Linked DNA regions of Mus musculus: all the other regions are reported to be linked to region 1. The links are microRNA targets in miRTarBase. Many come from high-throughput screens and were not tested one by one. Region 1 holds a microRNA gene; each other region holds the end of a gene's coding sequence.
What was found. Region 1 holds the annotated microRNA mmu-miR-1b-5p (UACAUACUUCUUUACAUUCCA, at 1,033-1,053, shown strand). A microRNA usually pairs through its seed, bases 2 to 8, with sites in the 3' UTR of a target mRNA and lowers its output. Matches are read on the target gene's strand: a 7mer-m8 pairs with bases 2 to 8, a 7mer-A1 pairs with bases 2 to 7 and ends in A, and an 8mer does both.

Region 1 (3,126 bases):
CAGATGCCCAGAGTTTAACATGTACTCACTTCAAAAGGGACAGCTGATCTAAGTGCTGGATGTGACATTTCAAGTGATTCAAAACACTCCTAGACAAAAGCTGAACTTGGAAGCAACAAAATCAGTTTTCAGTTTTATTTTATAAATGAATAGCTAATATTCTCTAAGGATTGTAACAAATTATTAGTTGTGAAAATGTTTCTTAAAGAATTATGAAAACCTTTCAGACCTGTGGAATAACTAATGTAGCTGTTCATAACTCATTGTGAGAAAAACAATGTCATTTGATATAAGCAAGGACAATACAGACTCAGGTTTTTGACAGTTTGTTGCCAATATATCCTGTTTACATTTTAGTTGTGGCCTAGGGTTTTGCCATTTTTATCATTCTTTTTCATGCTGTAAGTATTAACTGCACTTAAAGTACAGATTGGGTTAAGAACTGACAAGCTGGAAAAGGACAAAAGCCAGTTTTCATGTGTGCAGTATAATTTTACTTAAAAGATAGTCTTTAAACATTATAGTTTCAATAGCTGTCAGAAAAGAAAATAATGAAACCAAAATTTTTGGCTTACGAGATCCTCTGATTTTAATAGGTTATACATTTTGCCACATGTGAAGAATAGCTATTATATGAGTAAAATCAGCTTTTTGTTGCTTTATTTTTCTTATTAGATTTGTTGGTCCTGATTTGATAGATGTGAGACACTAAAATATCCAATTGTGAAGACAGATAATGGTTGATCCTGTGTCTCACTGTTTTGCGCTAGCAATACTATTTCCTCTGTAGTAGTCACATTTTAATCACGTGAGTATTCAGTGTAGAGTGTAGTATGATTTAATGTGAAAATTAAAATCCACTTCCACGGGACTTATCTCTTCAGTACAGTATAAGGGATGTTAGTTTTCCCAGTGAATGGCTGGTCCTTTTGGAATGGGGCTGTTAGTATTACAGGTGAATTCAGAGTATGGAAGTCATCCTCCTGGAAAGTTTCCTTTAGCTTCTTCTTGGCGGACATTACCTACCCAAAATACATACTTCTTTACATTCCATAGCACTGAATGTTCATATGGGTACATAAAGAAGTATGTGCTCTGAGTAGGCACTCCTGCGCCGGCCGATAGCTGTGAAAACATGAAGCAGCCCACCTCACCCAGCTGTTAGTAGGACATTTGGATTACTTTTCTGGAAGAGTAATGGATCCAGTGCGGAGATTAGCTTATCAGAGACTGAATTTTACAACAGATTTACCTGATCCCATCAATGCCACTTCTGCTTGTGGTTCTTTTAAGCACTGCCATGCTTTGCCCTGCTGCTTCTTTTCCAAGAGATGCAGTCAGCAGAGTCTTAAGTGTATTCAGAAATGTTAGCACGCTTGCTGCTCTCTCCGTCGTGCCTCCCTCTTCTTTATAATTTGCTTCTAGATCCTTTACAGACAGATGATAATCAATTTAGTCTAAATTGTTTTTATAAACCAGATACTTCTACTTAAAACTTATTGGGAGAAACAAGTTACAGTTAGCACAGGCTTTGAAATTGGATCATTTCATTGTGTGAGTGAATTAATGTTTTTAAATGGAAATTTATTTTCAAGGTAACAGATTACAAATCATTTAGCCAAGTTTTTGTTCTGTTTCTGTTTGCATTGAATGCAAATTCAAATAGTTACGTGCTTGGTTTGTATGAGATTACTTTTTAAAAATGGTTTTTAATATAATGGAAAAGTACTAAAATAACTTTTCCAAAGTCTCCATAAAAGAGGAGAAGCACTTTAGTCTGTGAATCTCTGGGTTTTACCTTGAATATTTAGCACAAGAAAAAAAAAATAATTTGGGAGTGGCCTATAGTCACTAAGACATTTTGAAGGTTAATTCAAAAGGAGACATTGAGAAGCTTTGAGATTTGGTAAAGAATAGAAAAGGGGGTGCTGGGAGGGAAGTGGGGGAATAGGATTTCTGCAGTCCATGAAGAAAGCTAGTAAGCTGCCAACGCGGGCCTCAGTCAGCAGTGCCGCTGAGACCTGCACCGTGCAGCAGCATGCGGATGTCTGTGGCCTGAGTAGTAAGCAAGGGGAGACATTTCATAACCCAAATCTTGAAGTAGCCTTTAGAAGCTATTGTGCTCTGGAGGCAGGGATGCAGGTTTACTAGAGGAGCGAGACACAATTGAAACAACTGTTTAATTGAAAACAATAAAGACCCTGTCTGTAGTGATGTAATGTTAGTGGTAGATTGTATATTTTTGAAGTTATCTGGCATGCTGTTTGAACAATGGCATTTTTAAAACTAAATTATTAATTTGAGCTTTGAAATTAGCCTATGCCCAGATATAAATTAATTTAACAATGAGAATATATATCAGTCAATATTAGATAAGCATGCAGAAAGTCAGAAGCGTCCTTCCAAGTTGGTTCTTGTGCTTGATTTACCTGTGAGCTTAGTGTCCTGCCCCACTTACAGGGAAGAGATGTAGTGACCTACAGTAACATTGCAGTCACCACATCATGACCGTTCTTTCACACTGCTGCTGTTTCAGCACTGGTTTTATAAGCTGGGTGAGGTAAGCACCCAGTGTAAGTGAACACAGAACCTTACCTTGTAAGATACATTTGAAAGACAAGTTAAATATACAAAAACAACGTAATTTTACCTTTTTCCCTTGCTCTTCTCATAGACATAGAAAGACACATATACACAGATGTGCATGCAGGCATGCAATCTCTCTCTCTCTCTCTCAAATTGAATCAACATTAGTCATATAATTTAGAATGTAATATATCAATTATATCGATATGTAGAGAAAGTTAAGTAATGGGAAGGTTGCTACAGTGGCAAAGAGAATGTACCTAGGGTTTTTGTTAGATGAAATGATTTACAAGAGGGGAAAAGTTGCAGAGGATGTTAATTTTGTAATCTAAGATTTAAAAAAACAAACAAACAAACAAAAAACCACTGCAAGCAAAACCCTAAACACACCTCACATTCTCCCAATTAGCTGCAAGCATTCACCCAGTTTCCTGTGCCCACCAGACCATACTGGGTTCTTCTGGTGCCTCAGGAAATATTCTGCATCTTTCTTGCTTTGGGATTCTTTTGGAGGAGCAGGAGTTTGAGTTTCCAGGGTTA
Region 2 (3,126 bases), not on the chromosome of region 1:
TGGACCCTGGTTGGGTCTTTGGGTGGTGAACCCAGGATGGCTAATGGGAATGCTGGGCACACAGGGCCTTCGCTGGTTTTTAGTTTCTCAGCTGTAACATTAACCCTTGGTTCAAGCATTGGGGTTAGGTGTGGGGTGCCAGGCTGGCCCCTGTTGTCCCTGCTGTCTGCCACTGCCCCTAGCTTCTCGCCTCTCAGCTGTTCCTGGTATCTGCATGGCTGCCATTCCCCTACCATCTCCAGGCTTACCAGGTCCTGCCCTGACTGTCTGGGAGCAGCTGGTGGCCCTGGAAGTGGCCAGGCCTCGTGCTGACTCTGTTGTCCCCTTCCCTCCCCCTAGGGAGCAAGAGCAGTGGGTCCACACGGAGCAGCCATCGGACCCCAGGCCGAGAGGAGCGCCGGGCAACTGGAGCTGGGGGTAGTGGCAGTGAATCAGACCACACAGTACCAAGTGGGTCTGGTAGCACCGGCTGGTGGGAGCGGCCTGTCAGCCAGCTTAGCCGTGGCAGTAGCCCTCGAAGTCAGGCTTCAGCTGTTGCCCCAGGGCTCCCCCCACTGCACCCCCTTACAAAGGCCTATGCAGTAGTGGGTGGGCCACCTGGAGGGCCACCCGTCCGGGAGCTGGCTGCTGTCCCTCCAGAACTTACAGGTAGCCGCCAGTCCTTCCAAAAGGCCATGGGAAACCCCTGTGAGTTCTTTGTGGACATCATGTGATGATCAACCAATGTCTTCAGCGCTGCCTGTGGCTGAGTCTGTGCTCCTGCTGTGCCAGGAGCTCTGCGCTGGCCGTGGTGGTGGCCAGCCAGGATAGATCAGCTGTGGGCTCTGGGCCAGGGCAGAGGGAGCAGGCTACAGAGGAGGGCCTGAGGGCAGCCATACCACCAGGATATTGGCTTGACATTTTGTCTGCTCTTGGGGCTGCTGATGGTGGTACAGCTCAAGTATCTATAGAGTCTTGTAAGGAGACATCTCTGACTTTAAGTCCTCAGCACAAGTCTCAGGGACCACCTCCTGGTTCCCTTCTTTGGAAGTGACCTCCATTTAGAACAAGAAAGGCTCTCTTGGGCTCTTGGTACCCCTTGCCCCAAAGCCTCACAGAACTGTGCACAGGGACACAGGCTGACTGTCGCTAAGTTCATGGGCCTCACCTGTCAGGCCAAGGTGGGATTTTTGAGGGGTTAGACAGAGCCTTCAAACCTCTCTGGCTGCCCAGGTGGGGTCTAACTTATTTATTTATTGCTAGCCTGCCTGCTCTAAGGGTGGCAGCTAGTTACCCAAAGGGGCAGTTTGCATGCCCCTTTCCCCACCTGCTACTTGGCACATGACAACACAGTTTGTACTGAAGGTATGTGAAGGGTAGCTAGTAGGAGAGACAGGAGAGAGACCTGGCACCTAGCCACTGTCTCAGTCTCAGTGGTGGGTGACAGTGAACACAAGAGCTGCAGAGCTGGGCCCTGTTCTGTTTCTGTTCTGGTGGCTGCCCATCATCATGTGCCACTGCCATCCCGGCACAGCGGCCCCACACATCTACACTAGACACTGTGTCAAAGTCTGAGTGACTGGGTAGTTGACATAGAGCTGCTTCTGTGTAAATGCTGCTTCTGTGTAAATGCTATTTTAAACACTAAAAAAAGCGTTTAATTTTATGGGACTGATGTGTGGCTTGTTTCTCTTTTCTCCAGCTGAGCTGCTCCGGGATTCAGGTGTGGGGGCCAGTCCAGAACTGACCCGGGTCTGATCCTGCCTGCAGATGGACGATGCTCTTGTCCCTTGCCGCTTAGGCATGTGGCTCTGTCCCTGGTGCTGGCCAGTAAGGGGCCTTGCGGCAACTTTTCTGTCCTTGGTACTAGAAGCTGATTCCAGGGGTCCCGCGTGGCTGGCGCTGGCCGTGGTGCTGACCCGCACCCTGTGTGTGATCTGTCCAAGGTGCTGGCGGCGACCTGGTTCTCTCCTACAGGCTAGGGCTCAGCTAGGGATGGAGAAGGCTGGATGTTGCCTACCTCCTGAGTGTCCTCTGCCTGATGTCTTTCTTGTTCTGTCCTGATACATACATACATACGTACATACACACACACACACACACACACACACACACACACACACACACATACATGCCCAGCCTTCTATTCCTGGGACGCCTGGACAGGGTGCTGAGTGAGGGCTCAGGGCTGGGCATGTTCAGGCAAGCAGTACCTTCTGGTCTCCCATGGTCTGCCTGGGGAATTTCTGAATTCAAAGTATGGCTATGAAGTCCCAAAGAACCTTTTGTGGGTCACCTGGGCAGGCCTTAGGTGGGCATAATAGGATCAAGGATAATCTTGCTTTGAAAGGATAGGTGGGCTCATAGGGTCCATCTTGTGCACTGCAGGCCTTGGGGGTTTGGGGAAGGGGTCACTGTGAGGCTAAGGTCAGTGGAGTCCAAGTCTATAGTTAAGTGTCTCACGTCTCAGGCTGAGGTACTATTCGGGGCTTGTTGGCTTAGGAGATTTCTGGTAGGGCTAGGTTCCCTAAAGGGAAGGTCACGGGTCAGTGGTCATTCATTGTGTCCCTGAGCTGCCTCACCACCGCCACTGTTCTCATCTGCTGCTTTCTTGGCATTCCTTCCCAGGAAGAACTCCTGGGTGTTGAGCTTTGGCAGCCAAAGAAGCACATAGCACTTGGGCAGGTGGAAGGTGACCAGGATGCCCAGGGCACAGACTAGGATAGCACCCATCTGCACAGCTGGCTGGTAGGCCACCTGCACATTGGCCAGGAGGGGCACAAAAGAGACCCAGGTGATGAAATAAGCTAGCATGGCGAAGGTGAGACCACGGGCACGGTTGTAGCGGCCAGGCTGGCTCTGTACCAGGAAAGTGCCCAGAAAGCAGAGGAAAGCTAACATTGCATTGGTGATGTGCACCAAGCCCAGGCTGACCCAGGAACGCACGTGGCAGTGCTCCAGTACCTCTGTGGGCAGCACTGACCAGTCTGTCACCACCTCTGGTGGGAAAGCGATCAAATACCAGGCACATAGTGCTGCCTCCACAAAAGTGGCCAACAGTACCACTAGCCAGGCCCAGAGTCCCCGAAGGTAGCTGCATAGCCAGTTTGCCCAGCTCAGTGGCAGCTCAGACTCCACAAAGGTCTC
Region 3 (3,126 bases), not on the chromosome of region 1:
TAGGTGTGCTACACACATGTAATTGTAAACTGTACTGACCACACTTCTCTGATTTTGCCTTTAGAAAACCCGTTATGAGATTTATGTCAGCGTTCTGAAAGAAGGAGGCAAAGAGCTCCTGACTACCGATGGAAATGAGCCCGTGGGACTGAAGAAGTCACACTCAAGTCCCTCCCTCAACCCAGATGCATCTCCAGTCACTGCCAAGGTCAAGCGCAACGTGTCAGAGAGAAAAGACCACCGACCTGAAACACCGGGCATTAAGCAAAAAGTTACTTAGAATCCATCCGCGGCCAGGAGGTGCTGGTCATGGAACAAAATAGGGTTTTTCAAGATCTTTCTGGTAATCCGTGAATATATTTAAAAAACAGTCTGTGACTAAACGGTGCATTAGTAACCTTTTCTATTATATATTTTTGTTAGTTTCTGTACAGGTGTCTTTGCTCTTGAGTTCCTTTGCTTTGATGATTTGGACAACTTTATAACTAATGCACCTTTTGTGAGGAGGAGGAGGAGGGCTACAGATCCTTTCTCTTCGGCTTTCTCTTATTTGCACTTCTATACAGTTATTTTGTGTATTACCAATCAGTTGTTGTATTTTTTTTTAGGTTTAAATTTTTAATCCATTGTGAAACCCATAACTGGACAAGCATTGTGCTTTTAGTAAATCCTAGACTTTACATGTGAAATCCTGCCCAGTCACGGAGGTGAAGTTGAAAGTTCATAGTTGCTCACATGAAAATGGCAGCGCTGGGAGTCGAGGTGTCCCAAGATAGGACACTTCTGCGTTCTTCCTGGCACCTGTTGTTGGTGCTGGACACAGGACAAAAGGGAGCACGAGGATGACAGGACTGGAGACCTTAGGGAGGCACAGGAGTTTGTCTCAGGTGTGCATTCCATTCCAGCCATGCAAGGGAATTCAGAAGTGGAGTCATCTTGCTTGAAGGGAGCCTGAGGATGGCTTGATCCCGAGCCACTTTTGTTTTCTAAAGGCTGGTGGCAGTAATCAGCTCTTTGGAACTGTAGCAGTAGGATGTATGGTCTTCTATAGAAATGTTACCTCACTCCCATGGAATCTAGACTAGGAATCAAAATCATCTCTGTGATTGATACCTTTCCATCCAGGAATAGATTCATTTAACATAGATGTACAGGCATAGATCATGTCCTGGTTGAAACAAAACAATGTTGGAAATGAATACCACCTTCCCCCACACATACTCTTCTCTTTCTTTTCTATATCAAGACAAATAAGGAGCAACACAGATGCAGTTCTTCATCAAGATCAGGCCATCAGACGGGCTATGAAATCAGTCTGATCACAGTGACCGAGGATGGAGGGGTCTGATGTATGAGCAGCGTCTTAGCTTATTCTCATCTCCACCTCTACAGCGGTCTTGCTATGCCACTATTAAGATTGCTCCTGGAATTACTTGTATACATTTAATCTTATTTTTTTCCTGCATTCAAAATGGTTTCACTTTACAGTCAAAGCAGTCCCTTTACAATTTAAAGTATTAAGTAGAGTATTGTCTGTAGAGGAAGAAAAAGGCGTAAAAGGTGAACTTCCTCTGTGGCTGAAAACTGTCCAGTTTCCAGCCTTGAAACTGTATTCTCTAAAACTACTATCTTCCCATCAAAATATCTTCAAAAACTAACAGGATGACATTTAGATATTCTTTATTCTCCTTAAATATTTCCTCTATTTCGACTTGGTTAGTTGAAGGTACTATGACCAGAGAATCAGCTGCTCTTGCATGAATAGCATGATTCTAGTAAGTTAGAGTAAGCCTGTTAAAAAATCCCGGTAGTTTATAGAGACATCTCGTTAGGATGTACTAGCATTTAGTCACAGGACTGTGTGTTAGCCTGTACTTCTTTCACCTCTGTACATGCCCACCTTGCTTGTGCCCCGGAATAGTAACACTTCTCTCCAATACGGTAGCTGCTTGCTTCATGGTATTTTGCCACACTATTGGAAAAACTTCCCTAAACTTCTATCTTGTTTAAGTAAAGGCAGTGATTTAATTTATATCTCAGAACCATGAAGCGAATATGATAGTTAACATTGTGGCTCCATATACCTGAACTATTTCATAGCATCCTAGTGAATCCAATATTCCCCAAGCAAGTTGCCTTTCTTCTAGAAGGTGAACTATCACTGTCTGCTTTTTGCCTAAGTATTTGTAATCCCTGAAGGGAAAGGTACCAAGACCTTGGAGTCTTGAGCATCATCTTAGAGCATCAGTAGCTGAACAGTTAACATGTCTAAATGTGTTTGTCCACAGTGTGTGCTATATGTATAGAATGTTTGTGTGTACTTATGTAGAGTATCTAATATACATTGAATGGTACCTTGCTGCAGAGTTTCTGACATGGAGAATTGTCTAGGACTACCCTTAGCATTAGCTCTGCCACTGTTCCTGTTACAGGACTCACTAGTGTTGGCTCTAGAGCTTCTGGACATGCTTATAGATAATCAGATCACAAAGGCACTTTTAAAGCTGTGGACTACTCTGTCTACATCATTTATCTTGAAAAATAACTGAAGCAGTCTTTTGTGAGTCAGAATCCCAGCCTGCCCTAGTGTAATGCTGTCTACCTTTGGGGATAGGCTAAAAATGTGTCTTCCCTGAGGCCTCTGGAAGGATGCTGCATTCTCAGATCTGATGGGACTCTAAGAGTCTGGCCCATAGTCAGCCCCATTTCTCCCACAGTATTGATTCCTAAGAAATGGAAGGTGGTCCATTGAACAGCTCTGCTAAGCCTGTTGCCCAGTACACGGTACCGGGAGCTCTTGTCCCTTTCCTTTCCATGGTACTTCATCCTGTCCCTCCTATACCTACTGTCATCCCTACCTCGGTGCCCTGGAGTCTTGGAATTCCTCTCCATATGATAAAGCATTATTTATCTTACATTAATACCTTAAAGGATGGTTCTTAGTATTGAAAATATGAACAAGACATCAAAAGACTTTGATGATAGTCTTGTTGAAAAACTGACCATTGAAGTACCCCTTGTATAAAATCTGTGTGTATCTTGGGCTTCACCCCTACCCCCACATGCTAGCTTCTAAAAAGATTTACCAGGAACCCAGTTTTAAAAATTCTACTTAGAGTCCTTGTT
Region 4 (3,000 bases), not on the chromosome of region 1:
ATAGGGTGAAACTGGTCTTGTCATTGCCAGTCTTCCTGTCTGTAATCACACCCACAAATAACTTAACAGATGCACATAAATACATGTGAAAAAAATTCTTTATTAATTTCTCACATCTCATTACAAAATGTATGTTGCAAACAACTTGAATAACCTACTTGTGTTTTTTATTTTTATTTATTTTTTTATTTTATTTTTTTTGTGTTTAAACCCTTGGCTTCAAGGAGTCAGGATCCCCCTATCTTTCATCAAGTTTCAGGAAACACTGATTATTGGAGTCAATAGGTTATCATTTTGCTATTTATTTTCTTCTCTCAAGCTCTGGAAAAAAAAATGTCCTCTGTATAAATTAAACAACAACAACAAAAAATTTTGTAAATTCTATGTCATTACAGTCAACAGAAAACAGAATGCGTCCAAAATGTGCGGCCACAAAATATCAGGTATATGTTTGAAAAATAAAACAAAAAAATGACATCCTAGCCTTGTTAAAAGGATAATGGTCCCATATTTTTATTATCAGGTTAGCAAAACAAAATCCAATGGATTACAATATTTACATGTTATTTGAAAAATAAAGTAGTGATAGAAGCATGTCACAATTATTTTCTCTTTTCCTTTCGTTGTTTTGTTTGTTTTTGGTAACCATCACAGACATCCAGTCCAGGTATGAAACTGTTTAGTACATTTGAAATGAGGCCAATCAAAAGCGAGTAAGGACACAGAAGAATCTGTCTAGATATTTCACACTTCCCCCTGTTCTGGTTTCCACATGACGGCCCCATCCCTAAAAACAAAATTAAATTAAACATCCTACAAATAAAAATTCTTAATAGCAAAAACTAAAAATCAAAAATAAAAACAAAAATAAAAAATAAAAACAAAGCAAAACCAAGATCATGCTTTTCAAGTACGTACTTACTTCACAAATGCGATATCTTTCCATGGATTTTCTCTGAAGCTGTGTGGGACACTGACACCTCAGTTTACCCTCTTTCCCTTCTGGCCCGCCCCCCACCCCATCAACCCTTCCAAGTTAAAAAAAACAAACAAACAAAAACCCAAACAAGGACAACAAAAGAAACAAAACCTAGGACTCATATTTGCCCACACACATACATCCAAACACCAGCACACGTATGTGCGCACGCGCACACACCCACCCACCCACACACACACGCCCCTAAGCTTCAAGAATGTTCCTTTCCACTTTTTGGAACAAAACCCCATTTTCACAATCATAATGTGCTATAAATGTAGACTTGCTTTCAGTCTAAGCTGCTCTTGGAAAAAAATAAAATAAAATAAACGAAGCCACTGTGGGGAAACAGAGCAGCTAGATGCGCAGACAAAGCACTTTTCCAGGCTCCCTGCAGGATGCGGCATCTCCTGTCCAAGCTCACGGAAGGGATGGCTCCCCAAAGAAATGAGACAGCCTCACAATACACAAAGCAAACAAAACAGAGTTCACAGCACACACGAAGGCCAGCCCAATGTAACAGAAATCGTTGGGGAGACGAAATGTGTTGCTTTGAGAAAAAAAAAAAACAAACAAACCCAAAAGGGTGACGGGACCTCCTTGTCTGGCCCCCCCCACTGCATAGCTGTGCTCGGAGTTTGGTTCTTTAGTTAAATTAAAAAGCAAACAAACACAAAAACAAATTTAAAAGGAAGTTAACCTCTTTGTTATGTTCATGTTTAAAATTATAAAAATTCACACACACACACATACATACACACACACACCCTACACCCTCTAACTCTCCCTTGACCTCAAATTAAACAAACACACAGAGAACAACTCATATGAAGAAAGAACAACTGAATTTGTGCTGTGTTTGTAACACTCAAATCGAGAAAAAAATAAACATGTGGCCAACGAAATCCCACGATCACCATAAAATTAGTTCACATGAACCTACCAAATTCTAAATTATAGCTGAACACTAATAAACAGCTTACCTGGAATACAAGATGACAATTCACACACAGTTATCTAGTAATTAAAGTCTGTTTCTTTTTTTTTTGTTTTGTTTTTTACTAAAATAATTAAAAAAATCACAGTATTTTAAGAAATAAAACCCACGTGGGGATTTTAAGCACAATTTGTGTTCCTTTCTTTAAAACTCTTTTTTTTTCTCCATTCACCATCCTGTCCAGCAGTTCTCTCTACATTTAACCACAAGGGCCACAGGTAGTACAGACAAATGCAGAGAATTCCCTTGGTTAAGTCTGAGGTACTAGGAAACAGGTGACTGTTTTATGCAAAGCAGTTTTTTTTTGTTTGTTTTCTGTTTTGTTATTTTTTTTTCTCCCAAAGCGGCTGCAGTTAGGTCTTGAAAAAGCTTAAGGTATTAAAACTAGAAAAACGCACAGAAAGTTGTGCGCCCAAAAGTTGTTCCCCTAGGAGAAGTCTTCTGTGTCCGGGAGCCTCGGTTTCCACACACTGTCCGAGAGGGTCACGGAGACCACCGTGCCCACGGGAGGTACTTCCCAAACCGCAGCAGATGAAAATCTCCGTGGTGAAGATCCGGAAGGAAGGATGTCGTGACAGGAAAGGAGCCACATATTCCAACCATTTAAATAACTTTAATTTACATACTCACTCACACAGGTACCAGTGCTTTGAAAATAGATTGTTCAGTCCTAAAAGCAGCTTTGTTCTGTCTTCTTCTCTCCTCTGTCTGTCCCCTCCCTTCTCAGCCCACGCCGGCCCGCCCACATTTTCATCACGGTTCAAGTAAGGTTTGATAAGAATTTCACCAAACTCTTATTCGTTTTTGGCCTCTGCATCCTCCAGGAGAGATTTGTCGGCAGCCACTACACAGATGGTTACTGTTTCGCTCTTTAAGGGAAAGTCTATCCCAATTGGCTCATCGTCTTCCTTGGCCTCTATGGAGGGCAGCTGCATACTCTCCTCCACCATCTCCTTTGTATGGATTTCGTTCCTGCTCACTTGGTTGGTATCATGCAATGACCTGGAAAAGCAAACCAGCAGAC

Region 2: miRTarBase lists Tas1r3 as a target of mmu-miR-1b-5p. Seed matches in the 3' UTR shown: 7mer-A1 at 2,060-2,066, 7mer-A1 at 2,052-2,058, 7mer-A1 at 2,048-2,054 and 7mer-A1 at 2,044-2,050.
Region 3: miRTarBase lists Psd3 as a target of mmu-miR-1b-5p. The part of its 3' UTR that is shown has no 7-base or 8-base seed match.
Region 4: the mRNA of Zfp462 is a reported target of mmu-miR-1b-5p. Seed matches in the 3' UTR shown: 8mer at 2,596-2,603 and 7mer-A1 at 1,730-1,736.

The regions. Positions count from the first base shown.
Region 1 is chr18:10,784,454-10,787,579 of GRCm38, forward strand. Mir1b (microRNA 1b) reads left to right here and starts at 993; the gene lies at 993-1,114. All of the region lies in intron 12 of Mib1 (mindbomb E3 ubiquitin protein ligase 1), which reads left to right. It overlaps Mir133a-1hg (a long non-coding RNA gene), which reads right to left. Exons shown (of 3, transcript XR_877177.3): 1 at 2,977-3,126; 2 at 1,253-1,428. Mir1a-2 (microRNA 1a-2) reads right to left here and starts at 1,099; the gene lies at 1,028-1,099.
Region 2 is chr4:155,857,654-155,860,779 of GRCm38, forward strand. It overlaps Tas1r3 (taste receptor, type 1, member 3), which reads right to left. Exons shown (of 6, transcript NM_031872.2): 6 at 1,615-3,126. The coding sequence ends at 2,533. Dvl1 (dishevelled segment polarity protein 1) reads left to right here. Exons shown (of 15, transcript NM_010091.5): 15 at 340-1,650. The coding sequence ends at 713. Among named protein-coding and RNA genes, the nearest start is that of Tas1r3, 4.1 kb to the right of the region's middle.
Region 3 is chr8:67,694,126-67,697,251 of GRCm38, reverse strand. It overlaps Psd3 (pleckstrin and Sec7 domain containing 3), which reads left to right. Exons shown (of 16, transcript NM_177698.4): 16 at 65-3,126. The coding sequence ends at 280. Among named protein-coding and RNA genes, the nearest start is that of Gm32888, 170 kb to the left of the region's middle.
Region 4 is chr4:55,080,644-55,083,643 of GRCm38, reverse strand. It overlaps Zfp462 (zinc finger protein 462), which reads right to left. Exons shown (of 13, transcript NM_172867.3): 13 at 81-2,978. The coding sequence ends at 2,771. Among named protein-coding and RNA genes, the nearest start is that of Gm42289, 13 kb to the right of the region's middle.